Rhinolophus ferrumequinum: one gene and its partner. The protein of the gene in region 1 interacts with the protein of each later gene in a biochemical or structural test. Links are inferred from orthologs where the notes say so. Each region holds a gene or a part of one and is shown in the gene's direction. Other genes may lie near its edges.

Region 1 (7,829 bases):
ACACAATGTGATTTATAGATGATGTAATACAGAATTGTACACCTGAAATCTATGTAACTTTACTAACAATTGTCACCACAATAAACTTTAATAAAAAAATAGTTTTTGAGGTCTCAAGAAGTTAATACTTTCCTAATGTTTAACTTTCTCTCTCTAAGTTGCATCTACTTTAAAAATAAATCCCTTTTTTGTAACGACTAATTGAATTCTCAAAACAAAGTGCCCAGATGAGGACTCGCCCAATTTCAGCTCGCAAAGGGATGCGGTACCTTGGGGCGGTCCCACTGCAGGGCGCTGTCCGGGCTTGGTGTTTAACCTAAGCTGACATGCCTCTGCTCCTTGTCCTGGTTTAGCTCCCTGTGGTGTCCTACATCACCCCTTCTCTGGCCACATCACCCCCTTAACGTGTTATCCTATCCCTGCTGGTGAGCAGCTTATTATCAAAGACGTAGAAAACACACTCGAATCTTCTCCGAGAAGTTGCACAACAGTTGCCAGTTTTACCTTCTTGGTCATTAGATGTCCACTCCATGTTCCAGTCGTCTGGTCCAGGTACAGAATATCTCCTAGTAAAATATTCTGTTGCTTCTGTAAATACAGATAGAAGAGATAACCTGATTTGTGTGGTACAATTTGTTCATAAAGAAACACTGTATAGAATAAGAAGGGGGAGGAGGAGGAGAAGGATAAGAAACAATATTTGGTCTCTGCTCCTGGTTCCTGGCACAGAGCTCCTAAAACCCGTGTACTTTTCCTGAGTAATGGGGGACATAGTTGTATCTTTCGTTATTTCTAATAAGTGCCATTCAACCATACCTGAGTTTATGCTGATGAGGTGACTCAGGGAGGATGAGGGCTGTTGTCAAAAGAATCAACCATGTAATTAGAGGGTTGGAACATTCATCCCCACCACTGGACCTCCAGGGACGTGAGAGGGGCTAGAGATTGAGTTCAACCACCCAACTTCATCAATCCTGCCCAAGTCATGGAACCTCCATAAAAAGCCTCAACAATGAGGTTCAGAGATCTTCCAGGTTGCTGAACACATCAAGGTGCTGGGAGGATGGCGTGCCCAGAGGGGCATAGCCACTCCACATCTGTCTCACACAGCTTGTCCCACATATCTCTACCAGTTAGCTGTTCCTGAGTTGTATCCTTTGCAATCAACGGTTAAAGTGCTTTCCTCAATACCGTGAGTCATGCTAGTAAATTGCCAAATCCAAGGAGGGGGTCGTGCAAATCCCCAGTTGATAGCCAGTCGGTCAAAAGTACCAGAGGCCCACACTAGTGATTGGCCTCTGCAGTCTTGTGGGGTCTGCACCCACTCTGCGCAATTAGCATCAGAAGTATAGTGAGTAAGGAGAGTTTTCCTATTAGGTGATTACGCTTTCACCTGCTAGACATTGATGGATGCCATCTCAGAAACAGCACCTGCATCTCAGTCAGTCACAGCCACCACAACAAGCTACAAGTTTTAAACTCAAAATATTCACCTGTGGGTATTTTGCCCTAGTCCCTGCAGTTACAAGGCCATTTAGAGAAGCAAGTCTTCATAAAATTAAAATATTCACTAATGAGTATGTTAGCAGTACCCCTTATAAAATCTGTTACCGCTTATAAAATTAGTCCCTCCTCAAAGCTCACTTCCTGCTGAAGCCCAAAGCACTGTCCCCAGTACGGACCCGATGGCCAGCCAGTCTCTCACCAGCTGGCAGATGTCTACAAGGCCAATCAACTGTACAGTGAAACTGTGCATCTTGCACAGGATGCAAGATTTCACGAGTAAACAAAAGTGATGCTCAGGTCCCCCTCAATTCCCACACAAAGCCCCTACACGTAGGGTCGGCAGAAAAGGAAGTCAACGCTGATGAACTTCAAAACAGAATGGTTGGAAAAAAATAATGAATTTACAACTTATATTAAAAGTAAAGAGTGAGCTCAGATAGGCTCACAGTATAGAGTAATAATACCATAAAATGGCTTGTGTTTTCCAATAAGCAATCCCATGAAAGCAGCCAGAAGAATGAATAGCATTGTGAACAGGATTAGTTTACTGCTTTTGGCCTATTCGCTTGAGTACTAGCTATGTGCAAACAGATACAACTAAAATGGAAATGGAACCACAGGGGAAAAAAAGAGATATGATAGGTCTATAAAAGATTGAAGAGAACTTGAGAAATAAGATGAAGCCTAAGTTTTGGACCCTCTTTCTGAGTCCACCATAAATCAGCTAAAATGAATGATGCTATGTCTTGATATCAGGTAATTTTTCAGAAAAATTATACAAAAGAATCAGCATTTGTTCATTTTTGTATTCATTCTAAAAACCAGCACATGGTTGCAAGCATAGTCTACATTTTATTAAATATAAGATCAAATATACTTATTTTCTTAATTTATGTTTTCATTTTTTAAAAAAAAAATGTCAAGCCTTTTTTGGTGATTTTTCACTTCATGGAACATTGGCTGCTGTTGCAAACAGATTCACTTTTTTACATATCTTTTTACTTTTTCTTATGAAAATACAGACATTCAGAAAAGTAGAGGGAATATGTAATAACTCTCGTACACTTGTTACCTAGATTTCAAAAGTGTCAAGCTCTTGCCACATTTGCATCATCTATTTTCTTTTGCTGAAGTATTTTAAAATAAATTATAGACATCATAACATATCACTACTTGATACTCTAATGCAGCTGTAAAAATAAAGGCCTTTTCCTACACACCCACAATCCATTATCATACTTAAAAAATTAATTCTGCAATATCTAATATCCACATTCAAGTTCCCCCAATTGACAAAAACCAATCTTTCCCAGCAGGTAATTCTGGTCTCTTCAGGTTGCCTCTTCATTCTATTAACTTTTGCTCCAAAAGACGCATTAGAGCTGATCATCCAGCTAGGTCTTATTTTCGGGGAAACACGGTATATCTTCTATAATGCCCCATTTACAATTCTGAAATGAAATTCATAGATAATAAACCTACCTACCAACACTCAAAATCTCAAAAAATTAGTATGTCCTAAGAGAAATAACTCCATAATATGTATTTCAATATGTAAATGAGGCACAACTACCACTAAAAGCAATGTAACTATTTGTACCTTTATATAAAATAGCCATGACTGTGACAGACAGCACTGGCATCATCTTAACATCTCCAGCATTGTTGTGGGTGACATGATGTTCTGAAACGGTTAATAACTTTTAGGTTCTGAACAAATCAATTTTGTTGCATTCTGGGAAAATTCAAAATGCATTTCTGGTAGTCATTATTCTGTTCACCAATATTCCCAGTTCTCCTATTCCACTAATAGGATTGAACTTCCCAATTCTATTGAAGTTAGAGTTGCTATGTGACTTGCTTTGGCCAATGAAATGTGTATAAGGGAATAATCACTTCAAGGCTGGGGCATTTACTATTGATGCAAAACTGCTCCAAGTGACAGAACCTCCAACAGCCCGGCATAATGACAAACTTCTGTTATGGGAAGATACTGATATTTGGGGGTTGTTACTGAAGCATAACCTAGCCTGATATAGTATTAAAACTGTTCCCCTCAAGAATAGTTTATGTTTTTATGCAAAATGGAATTAGGCTCCAGGCTCTGATCATTATAAACAAGCTTTGCACTTACATGAATGTCCAGGGGGAAGGAGAGTCCTGAAGGATCCTGGACAACTCTTTGTCATTCCAAACTACCCGACACCCCATCCGCCCCTCCACTCCTCAATCACTGTGACAACTCAAATGTCATCCCCACCAATTCCCCCACTCACTCCCCACTCCACAAAAAACAATTGGCCTTCAGGGATCAGGCAGATCATGACTAGTACACTGGGCTGGACCTACACGCCTAGAGAACCTGGGCTTCTGAAGGGCAGCCACTGCCCACTCCACTAGTTCGCCGCCATCAGCAAACATACTGAGTTGCCAAATCTTCCGATGCTTCAAGGGACAGCCAAAATCCAGCTTTTTATGCAAAACCGGTTGATTTCTAGATATCTGCAACAACCTGAAAATTTAAAATGTAAGCACTCTGGGAGTCAAACCAAACAGTTCTGCTTGTTTGATGGTGCCCACGTGCAGCACTTTGCAAAAAAAAAAAAAAAAAAAAAGTGTCAAATGCTGGTGAAATTTGAGTTTCTACTTTGTCAAATTCCCTTCTTTTCCAAGTGCCAAAACAGGCTATAAGTCGTTAAGAGTGCCTTGCCTAAGCCGCATAGTTGGGTAACAGCCATCACGATTGCTAACGTTTGCTCCGTGCTCCTTACTGCAAAATCTTACTTAAATAATGAGGTAGGTTGTTATTGTCCCCCTTTAGCCAATTAATAGCAGAATCTGGACCTTCAGATTTCCAATCCACCTCAGTGGATTTTCTGCCAAGCTGTGGCATTAGGTCCGTAATTTTTTAAAACTTCTGTTTCCTACCTCTCCAGTCCGTTTCCTTACCCGCCCTTTTGCTTGTTCTGAAGACTGCTGCAGAAAAGTGAAATAGAAAAAGCAAAATATGAAATGAAAATAAAAAAGAGGAACTCGTGTCACAAAGAAAACTAAGGCCATGTGGGCTGTGTTCTAGGCTGGGACCAAGAGTAACTTCACGGAAAAAAGTCCTCCCGACTGGTGGGAATAGGGGCGCTCCTTAGGTTATGACCGGTACTTTCCTGAACCTACTTAGAGTGGGAGGGAGGGAGGGAGGGAGGGTGGTGAAGAAGAAGACCGACGTCGCGAACAGGAAAACAGGACAGCAAGGGTGTGAGAGCGCCGGCCCGCCCGCCCCGAGCACGCGGCCCGCTCGGGCCACGTGACGCGGCCAAGATGGCCGACGGGGGAGCCAGCTGCTCGGCGGGGCGGGAGCTCGGGCCAGGGCCGGAGCAGGCGCAGGAGCCGGAGCCGGGAGAAGAGTTCGAGATCGTGGACCGGAGCCAGCTGCCGGGCCCGGGCGAGCTGCGGAGTGCAGCGAGACGGCGGGCCGCGGCGGACGGCTGGTCCGCGCCCATCCTGACCCTGGCGCGCAGGGCCACCGGCAACCTGTCGGCGAGCTGCGGGAGCGCGCTGCGTGCGGCCGCGGGACTGGGCAGCGCGGGCGGCGGCGCCGACGGCGCGGCGCCGGCAGGTAGGTCCGGCGAGCGCGTCCCGCCCGTTCTCCGCTCGGGTCAGGGGGTGGTTGGCTGTAGGAGGGCGGCAGACAAGACCCTGTTAGACTGGTCGTAAGAAGCCAGTGTGTTCACGCGCCTGGCTTCTCTTCTGATTTCTCTACACTCTGCGGCTGCGCAGAGATGAATTCGTGGCTTGGGTGGTGACTCCCACTTGTGTTCCCCAGACAACGTCGTTATATTCATTGGTGGGCCTTAAGAAAATGTACGAGTTTGAGCTCAGGTTATCTGTATGGGATTTAAAAAGCACTTAAGTAAATCCAGGACTTCTGCCGTAAATCTCAAAATGCCAGCCCAGCTCACACCTGCAGGTGTGACAGCGCATCCACTCTCCGCAAGGAGTCAAGTCACCACATTTCCCAGCCAGTAAAATGGGGAGTTTTGATTCACCCAGTGATTCCCTACAGTGCTTTCAGCCCTTGTCATTAGTGAGAAGAATGGAAACATTAAATGTGTGACTCAGTGGCCCACGGGGGGCTTGTGGCTACGTATTGCATAGTGCACTGGGGACATTTTCTTCTGCATAGGAAAGTGCTGTGGGGCAGAGCTGACTAAAGACTGGAGTGCTCTTTAAGAAGCATTAGTGTGCCTTGGAGGTTTCTTGATTCTGTCCTACCCACTGGCAACTTTTCCAGAATAGTGAATTTTGAGAATCTCAGTGGTTAAGAAAGATTAAGGAGTAAAGTTTAAAATCTGACTTCTTTTCAGATTCTGACAATGGAAAGTAGGACTAAAAGGTAATGAGGGGCTGCTCTACCCAGGAATCTGGTCCCCAATCCCTTGCCCGCTTTGTGCATGTCAGTGAGTGTTTGCACACCCACCCACTGGCAGTCAGTCCCAGAGTCAAGGCCTGGGGTCTTCTGGAGGCCTCTCAGATAGTTCATGGTAGGTAGTAAGCAAATAATGTTACCTGTTCACTGATGAATAAAATGTTCCAATGCCCAGAACAGTGCCTAGCTCAGAATAATAAATATTCGAACAAATGCCTATTTGAAAAATACTTGTTTTCCATTTATGAGCTATGAATAATAGCCAACACTTGTATTGTGCTTACTGGGTGCCAGTTATTAGTCTTAGATCTGTACATAATTCATTTAATCCTCACTGTAATCCTGCATAATAGCAGGACTGGCTTCATGGTGTGTAATCGATGCAGGCTTTGGTTAATGTGGTCCAACAGGGACAGGCACTGAGAAATGACCCATGCTTGAAATTCTTAGTAATTATATCTCTGAATTTGTGTTTTGTAAGTGAAGGAGCGAACAAAGGAGCATGTGTGGGGGTCTTGGAGTCGGACTCACGTGTGGTCCCACCTTCCACTGCCTCCGTGGGACAGGTTCTCAGCCGCCCTGGCCCACTCAGACTACCCTGGGGCACTGCTGGCCTAAGCAGGGTTGGGGTCTTGCCTTTTGAATCTTAGAGTGTCCACTGCCATGCCGCACCAGGCTGGCAGTGCCACAGCACAGTAGGCAGGCAACCGGGCCTCTCATCCTCCCCAGAGGGTGGTCCCCATCTCTGTAGGAAGGTGCAATGCCTTAGGACCCACGAAGGGGAGACTGACTTCCTCGCCTTTCCACATGGAGCCAGCCCATGTGATAGGTACCATTTTATCCCCGTTTTAGAAAGGAGGGAAACTGACTTAAAGAGTAACTTAGAAATGGCAGAGCCCATACTTGAACCAAGACACCTGCCTCTCAAGCCATGCTGTTAGTCACAACACCCCAATGCCTCGATACCTCTAAATAGTTTTATGGTAAAATGCCTTAATATATGCGTATGGATTTTTTAATTAGATTTAATATTTTAATGAAAATATTAAATAAATGCCACTCAGATCTGGCAAAAATTGTGAACATGACTGAACAAGGACTGAAATGTGGGAAACAGCTGGGAGAAGCTGTGGGCTAGTCCACGAAGGTCACCGGGATTTGGAGCCATCCAATAGGACAGGAGTGGAGGTGGCGAAAGGAGGTGGACCCGGGCACCAGGCTGGGCAGAGGCCCCCGAACAGCAGGTCAGGAGAAGACAGTGGCCCCGCTTCAGCAGGCTCATTCGTGTCTTTCCCACCAATCTGCTTCCATAAGTGATGAGGATGCAGCGTTGTCAGAGGGAGCAGTGAAGGAACAGAGGTCGAGTGTCAGCAGGCCCCATCCCAGAAAAAAATTGGGGGTAATAAAGGTTAAAGGGAAACACTGTGGAATGTTGTGGAATGCTCTGAGTATTTGTTGTACAGCATTATCCCACGTGAGGTCTGGTAGCAGCACAGCAGGCCACAGCAATTGCATTCACATAGTTGTCTTATTTGGTTTTTTATTTTTTAAATATTCTTTCTCTCTCTCTTTCTCTTTCTTTCATTTATTTATTATTGGGGAACAGTGTGTTTCTCCAGGGCCCATCAGCTCCAAGTTGTTGTGGAGGGCACAGCTCACTGGCCCTTGTGGGAATCAAACCGGCAACCCTGTTGTTCAGAGCTTGCGCTCTAAACAACTGGGCCATCCAGCCTCCCTGATTTATTTTTTTAAGATAATAAACGTGCATGGTGGGGGAAAAAAAACATCTAACCATACTAAAGAAGACTTGTATAGAGGCAGTCCTTCATTCCAGAAACTGACCTCAATCCTGTTCGATCTTTCAAAGGGTGTGTATGCTTGTAGCTATCCTTTCATCTAC
Region 2 (7,698 bases), on another chromosome or scaffold:
TGAGGGGATTAGAAAACAGTCAGTAACCACAAGATGGCCTTGGGGTTTTGAAAATTTGGGGAATGTAATCAATAATGTTGTAAAGATTTTGTAGGGTATCCGATGGACACTTGTCTCATTAGGGAGACCACCGCAGAGATGATATAGATGCCTGATCACTGCACTGTACACCTGAAGCTGAAGCTGAACAATAATGAATGTCAACTATAATTTTAATATATATATTTATAAGTGGAGTACAGTATTAGGAATAGAGACAATGGAAATGTAATGGCTGTGTGCGACGTCAGAGGGGTAGTGGATGGGGAGGGTTACAAAAGTGAGGGATATAAATGATAAATGTCTAACTATTACATTGTTTTGTACACCTGAAACTAATACAAAAATAAAATAAAATAAATCAACAAGTTTGAAATTAAGTGCATTACATTAAATTAAATCCATATTAAATAGAGAGCTACTGAGTTTTATTTTATTCATTAAACAACTATTTAATTATTGAGAGTTTACTATGTGCCAAATACCATTTTAGCCATGAGGGTAGAGAAGAGAATAAGACAGACACAACCCTTTCCCTTATATAGTTTATAATCTAAATGGGAGCAGACAATATAAAAATAATCAATATATGTGTTAGAAGGTGTTCAATGCTGTGGAGTGGGGGGACCCAAAGCAGGGGGTGTATGAAATTCTGGGGAGGAGAAGGGCTGCCGTTTCATATCTGAGTGGGAGGGCCTCATTGTTGAGGCGCCGTATGAGCAGAAAACAGAAAGGCTGAGGGCAGCACCATGTAGACACCTGAGACAAGGGCATTCCAGAGAGCCTGCCAGGCGGACAAGAAAGCATGTGCAGAGACCCTGAGGCCAAAGCCTGCTTCGTGTGTTCAAAACACAACAAGAAGGCCAAGACACAACCAGAGCCGAGTGAAACATGTATGTCTCACTAAACAAGTAAACCTCTAAATGTCTGGCAGCCAATCAAAACCTACCTGACATGTAAAGTAGGGAAATACTTCATAATGAGGAGAAAAGGCAATCATTAGAAACTGTCTCAGAAATTACTGATGATAAAAATTAGTAGAAAATGACATTAAAACCATTATTACAACATATTCCATACATTCAAGAAGGTAGAGAAGAGATTAAGTACTGAGCATGACATACATATACACAATTGAACTTCTAGAAATGAAATTACAATGTCTGAAAGGGAAAATACACTGGATGAGATTATCAGCAGATTAAATATTGCAGAAAAGATTAGTGAACTCAAAGACATAGCATAGAAACCATCCAACACGAAACACAGAGACTGGCAAGAAATGAACAGAGTGTCAGTTAGCTATGGGACAAATTCATGTGGCCTGACATGACAAAAACCATAATGAAAATCACACCGAAGCACAGCATAGCACATCGTAACCAAACTACTCAAACTAGTGATAAACATATCTTTAAAACAGTCAGAGATAAGATGCACTGCCTACAAAGGAATAAAGCTAAAAATGGCAGTAGACTTCTTATCAGAAACAACATAAGCCAGAAAATGCTGTATTAAGGGAACAAAAATAAAACTATTAACTTAGAAATCTAAACTTAGCAGAATTATCCCTCAAAAACAAGTGCAATATCCTTTTTAGCTACACAAAAGCTGGCAGAAGTCTTTGCCAGCTGACCTGCACTTCGAGGTCTGCTACCGGAAGTCCTTTGGACAAAAGGGAAATGACATCATGTGGGATGCTGGGTCCACATGAGGGACTGAGGAGTCATAAACATGGTAACTTTGTGGGTAAATATGTAATACTTGTTCTTATTGCTTAAATCTATTTTTAAAAAAATGTGGTCTATGCATACAGTGGAATGCTATTCAGCCTTAAACAAGGAAAGCAATTCTGACATAGGCGACAACATGGATAAACCTGGAGGACATTACGTTGTGTGAAGTAAGCCAGTCACAAAAGGACAAATATTGTGTTATTTCACTCATATGAGCTACTAGAATCGTCAGATTCACAGAGAGACAAATTAGAAGGGGTTGGGGGAGGAGGGACGGAGAGTTAGTGTTTAATGGGGACAGAGTTTCAGTTTTGCAAGATGAAGAGTTCCCATAGGCAGATGGTGGGGATGGTCTCACAACGATGTGAATACATTGTCCCCTCTTATCAGCAGGGACACATTCCAAGACCCCCAGTGGATGCCTGAAACCACAGATGGTAGCAAACCCTAGATATACTATCTTTTTTCCCTAGGTGTACTCACCTTTCCAATAAACAGCAGCATTTTCCAGCTTCTCTTTGGCAAATCTGAATTGCCAACATCCCTGTGCTTGTACTTTGGGTCCATCATTCAATAAAATGCGGGTGACTTGAACACAATCTCTGCAATACCACGACAGTTGCCTGAAACTGAGGTGGCTACTAACAGGAGGGGAACATCTACAGCGTGGAGACACGGGACAAAGGAATGATTCATGGGTGGGATGTAGCAGGATGGCACAAGATTTCATTGCATTACTCAGAACGGCTTGTAATTTAAAACCTATGACTTGTTTATTTCTGGAATTTTCCATTTAATGTTTTTGGACTAGGGTTGACTGTGGGTCACTGAACCCATGGATGGGGAGAAACCATTGTAAACTTAATGCCACTGACCTGTGCATTTAAAGATGGTTGCGATGGTAAATTTTATGTTATGTGCATTTGACCACAATTTTAAAAAGGGAGAAAATTGGCTGCTTAGAGCAGAAATAAGAATGACATGTGTATGGTGTACAACAAATGTGGAAGTAGGACCTCCACAGCACAATTACAGGGGCGGGTGGAGGAGACCTTCTGTGCCGTTCTTATTCTCCAGGTGAGATGGCATCGCACCTGCAGGTGGGCTGCGATCACTTAGAAACCTGCACTAGAAACCCTAAAACAAGCACTGAGATAATCTCACAAGAAGTTATTCCTAATGAGCAATGAAGAAGGTAAAACAGAATCGCAAAAAGTGCCCCTGCCCATTGAAAAGGCCTAGGAGTAGTGACACCTCTGTAGCAGTGAGCACAGGTGTACACATACATAAAAAATTATCAAAGTGTATACTTTAAACATGTGTAGCTATCCCAGTTATGCTTCCATACAGTTGTTTGGAATAAAAGCAGAGTGAGCTGCTTGGATGGGTAAAAATCTCCCATGATGGTCATCGTGTCTTTCCACATGCATCTACCTTCTTGCCTTCTAGAACACAACAATAGCTCACTCCCTGTTCTCTTTGAAGTTAGGTGTGGCCACGTCACTTGCTTTGGCCTATGAATTGTAAAGGGAAAGGATTCTATCAACTCCTGATGGGACCTTCACGAGCTAACGCACAAGTGATGTCATTTCCTTCTCCTGCCTGAGTCATGGTGGGAGCGTGTGTTTACACAACACCTGGGTCATCCTGGGTCTCCACGTGGCCACAGGGAACTGAGTCTCTCTGCCAATGTGAGCAGGACAAGAGTCAAGTGAGAGAAACTTCAGGCATAGGCACATCGGGAGGTCTTTGTTACTGCAGCTAATTTAGCCCATCCTGACCGAATGTTTCCTAACAGACACATCCAGCTACAGAGGTCGTTTTGTTTGGCACTGGAATGCAAACTGGCCCATCCACTTCTGAGGTCTCTTCCAACTTGAAGATATGAGTTATATGTCACAGGTATCACCGCCTGGGTGTTTAATTGAGGTCAGTTTTTCAAGCCTCCACCTACCTGTGTGGAACTTGACTTCTTCTGAAAGTAACACCAGATATTTCTGAGTCCCTAAATATTCCGACAGACACACACGTTGGCTCAGCGTCCAAGGAAAGTCACCATAGAGACTGTGACCAGTGCCCTCTACCAAGCCTAGCTCCGTCAAGGATGCCATGTCCCTTTGCTCCCAAAGCCACTGCTGCCCGAAATGTCAGGATGCTGCTGGATTCTCATCCCTAGGCCTTTTAGGGTCCCCTCAGGGAACGGGGCTACTACTGTTCTAGGTCCAACTATGGGTGTTCCCAGGCGCCTTCAGTTATTGTCCATCAGTCCCCACTCGTCCCTCCAGATACCACTGTCCCCACCCTCCAGATACCACTGTCCCCACCCATGTGACCCTCTGCTAGTCCTGGAGAACAGGAATCCTTGTGAGGCTGGCTCCGTGAGGCATTGCCAGAGAGCAAGAAGGACAGTGTCAGCTACTTAGCAGCAGGTGGGATCTATTTTGGAAGAAATGCTTCTCCCTTCGTTTCCCTGAGACAAATCTTCGATGTGCCTAGGCTTTTGGAAACCTGCTTTTACTCTTTCACAAACCTCCCTTGAAGAGAAAGGAGAAAATAATCGAAGAAAAACACAGATGAGTTTTGCCGTAAGTTTTCTTTCCCCACAGTACCTCAGAATGAAAGCACTTCCCAAGATTAATTAAGAGAAATTTATTTTGTCTCAAAGATCCCAAGTTACCGAGATGCAAAGAATTTTTCACTTCACCGGCCCCGCCCCGCCCCGCCCCGCCCCGCCCCGCCCCGCCCCGCCCGGCTCCCCGCCTCCCGTCCCCCGCCCCCCGCCCCGCCCCGCCCCCCGCCCCGCCCCGCCCGGCCCCGGGCTGCGTGCGCACGCGCGTCCCCGGGCGGGGACTGGGCCTGGTGCGCCTGCGCGGATGGGCAGTCCGGCGGGGCCGCAGCCGCGGGGTGGCGGGCGGTTGTCTTAGAGACCGCGCGGGCCCCTCCGTCCTCCGGACCCCGCCCCACGCCGTTGCCCACCGAGCCGGACGATCCCCGGACGACCCCGGGACGACCACGCCCGTCCCCTGCCGCCGGCCGGGCCGGAGCTGCGCCGGGACCCGCGAGAGGCGGTGCCGCCCCGAGATGTCGCAGACGGCCATGTCGGAGACCTACGGTACCGGGCGCAGGGCCGGGGGCGGGCGGGCGGTGCGTCCCGGTCCAGGCCTCCTGCCGCGCTGACGCCCCGGGTTCCTCTCGGCGCGGTCTGGTCTCCGTAGCGCGGGGTTTGGGAAGGCGGCTCGCGGCTGTTCCATCTGCGGCATTGTCCCCAGCGAGGGACGTGACGGGCTCGGGCGACGCCTGCGGCCCCGGTGGACCTTTGCTGCCTTGGAGCCCCCTCCTGCACGGGGTCACGGGTGGGGCCGGCTCTGTGAGCGGCTCTCGGGGGCGTGTGCCCCGCTCGTGTCCCCTCGGGTTCAGCCCCTTCTGGTTGCGCCTGACGTTGGCAGTGTCTCCAGACGGCGGGCACCTCGCGAGCACCGGGGCCCGCGTTTGCGCGCCGCTGCTCCCGTCGGCGCCCACACCTGCGGGCGCCCAGCACATACCTTTTGAATAAACCGAAGCCTTGCGGAGTCACGCGCGGTTTTCGTCTGGGTGTGAGGCCTGCGCGACAGAAGTGAAGTGCGCGGTGTGCGCGCCCGCCCTGTCGGGGCTGAGCTGGCGCCGCTTTAGTCGCCCTGAACGGCGTGTGCATTCAGGTCGAGGCCGATTGGGAGTTTTACAGCCCAGGTCAGAGGCTCGGATTCAAAAGTGTGTACCTCACGTCGGATCACTTTTGTCTCCGTTTGTGCTGTCACGCTGCTCCTTCCCCTTCAGCAAGTGTGTGTGCACGGGCGTGCGGAGCCGCGCTGGAAGGCGCTGACTCCCGGCGGGCGGGCGGTCTGGCTGGGGGTTCAGTGCGGACCTGCTTATGCCACTGACGAGTGACTAGTTAAAACCCCTGGCAGGAGTTCCGAAGCCTGTGGTCTGTGAAAGTATGTGAGAAAGAAACCTAACCCAGGCTGGGGGCCAGGGGACGGCAGCACAGCACGTGCCCAGGCCCAGGCCGGGAGGGAGATGCAGTTCCACTGGGGGAGTGTGGCTTGGGCCCCACAGCCCCTGGGAGAGCCCTGAGGGCGAGGCACAGAGGACCTCGTGCGAGGATGTGGTCTTTCTCCCGAGAGCGGTGGGTGGGTCAGTGCATTTGCTCCATGTCCTGCCACTCCTGGGAGTGGTACATGCATGGTGACACTGGGGGGCACTGCAGCAGGTCTGTCCCTAGAAGGCTTTGGAGATCCTCCAGGAAGTCGCTGGCTTCACAAGGACCAGTGTAGTCAGAGCTGCAAATGCTACAGTACGTCACATCCCGTCACATCCCCGTGGTCCATAGAGAACCACTGTTGAATTTCTTAAAGAAAATATATTTCTCTAGCAATGTTTGATTATACTTTTGCTTTTCTTTATTTTCAAGTGCTCCTAACCTCCACACTCCTCTTTAACCTGGATAAGGAGCACAAGAAAGGGGTGAAAAGTCTAAATAAGAAAAGCCAGTGGGGTTATGAAATAATAAGAAATGAGTGGAAGAGTTCATTTCTCTTATATGGGATGATAACCTTGATAAAATGGAGCATGCCTCTGGCATCTCTGCTTCCCTTCTGACAGTGAATTAAACTTTTGAGCATCACAGTAACTGATTAAATTTGATCCTAAGGTTTTGACCATCAGTATTCTTATTTCATGGTAACTTCCAAACATGTTTTTACTTTTTACCAACAGAATTTAATCTTTCTCTCTAGAGGAAACAAATAGAAAATAAGTTTTAGAAAGAGCAAATGTGGAAATTGAAAGTGTCAACCTAAAATTAAAAATCACTCCAAACCAAGTCCTAAGCTGTCACCTTCCCTTATTGACCATTTTTGCACAGCATTGTGCCCCAAAGGTAAATCAATCAGGGGCCCTCCTCCCACACATTTGCCTCTTGGATAGCTGGTAAAGGAATATTTGCCTAATCTTTAAACTCCTTTCTAGTCTGGGCTCACTTTCTCTCTTCTGGGAAAGAAGGCTCTGTGTAGCTTGACCGGGATGATGAAAAAGGAAGAGCCAGGCTTATAATGTACCGTTAGTGAGCTCTGTCTGCCCTCTGTGTGCCTGTTAAAGCATTTGATCCCCTCATAGACTGAGGAGTGTGCAACATTTTGCTGCTTTGAAACCACTAACCACATGAAAACTCTATGTATTATTGTAACAGAAAATTGAAATAAACACAGAAGTTTCAGATTGAAACCTTCAATCTGAATAGCCGTCAACTAAAACAGTGGTTCCCAAATGTTACCAGGTTCATGACACTTTGAAAGCCCTGGCCAAGTAGGCTGGCTTGGGACTTCCCAAGGAACTGCAGCCATCTAACACGGGAGATCGCAAATTAGCTTTAAGTAATTTCTGATAATCAAGATTTATGAGACAAAACTAACAAATCAGAGAAGTATTAATAGTTCCCAGCAATGGAGTTCAGAAAGGAGCTAAAAAGTGTTAAGTGATGCAGAAAATGCTATGAATTAAAAATAAAAAGTTTAAGGGCCGAGGCAGTTTGAGAGAGGAAAAATCTAAGGTAAATCTCTCTCTACACACTGGAGTTTATGCCTTCTACAACAAATTATGGAACAAGAACACAAATTGTTGGTCCTGTGCTAATTCTTATTACAGTACACCCTTAATGTTTTTATTTTGAAAGTATAATAGTATTTACTACATAATTTTGAGAATTATCAGGATATTGAAATTATCGGGATATATATCATTATAGGCTGTTGTGGGTTGAATTGTGTCCTGCAAAAGATATGTGCAGGTCCTAACCCCAGTACCTGTGACTGTGACCTTATTTGGAAATAGGGTCTTTGTAGATGTGTTCAGGTTAGGATGAGGTCATTGGAGTAGGGTGGGCCCTGAT

What was found. The genes of interacting proteins can lie anywhere in the genome.
Region 2: the proteins of RUFY1 (region 1) and RAB4A form a complex in vitro, tested with the Homo sapiens proteins (2 studies listed by BioGRID). The link is inferred for Rhinolophus ferrumequinum from reciprocal best matches to the Homo sapiens genes RUFY1 and RAB4A.

What each region holds. Positions count from the first base shown.
Region 1 is NC_046307.1:2,763,688-2,771,516, forward strand, and holds the start of RUFY1 (RUN and FYVE domain-containing protein 1), read left to right. Parts: upstream 1-4,781; 5' UTR 4,782-4,821; coding exon 4,822-5,119; intron 5,120-7,829. UniProt on the Homo sapiens protein: Activating adapter involved in cargo sorting from early/recycling endosomes. Regulates retrieval of proteins from endosomes to the trans-Golgi network through interaction with the dynein-dynactin complex.
Region 2 is NC_046310.1:27,088,115-27,095,812, reverse strand, and holds the start of RAB4A (ras-related protein Rab-4A), read left to right. Parts: upstream 1-4,616; 5' UTR 4,617-4,856; coding exon 4,857-4,887; intron 4,888-7,698. UniProt on the Homo sapiens protein: The small GTPases Rab are key regulators of intracellular membrane trafficking, from the formation of transport vesicles to their fusion with membranes.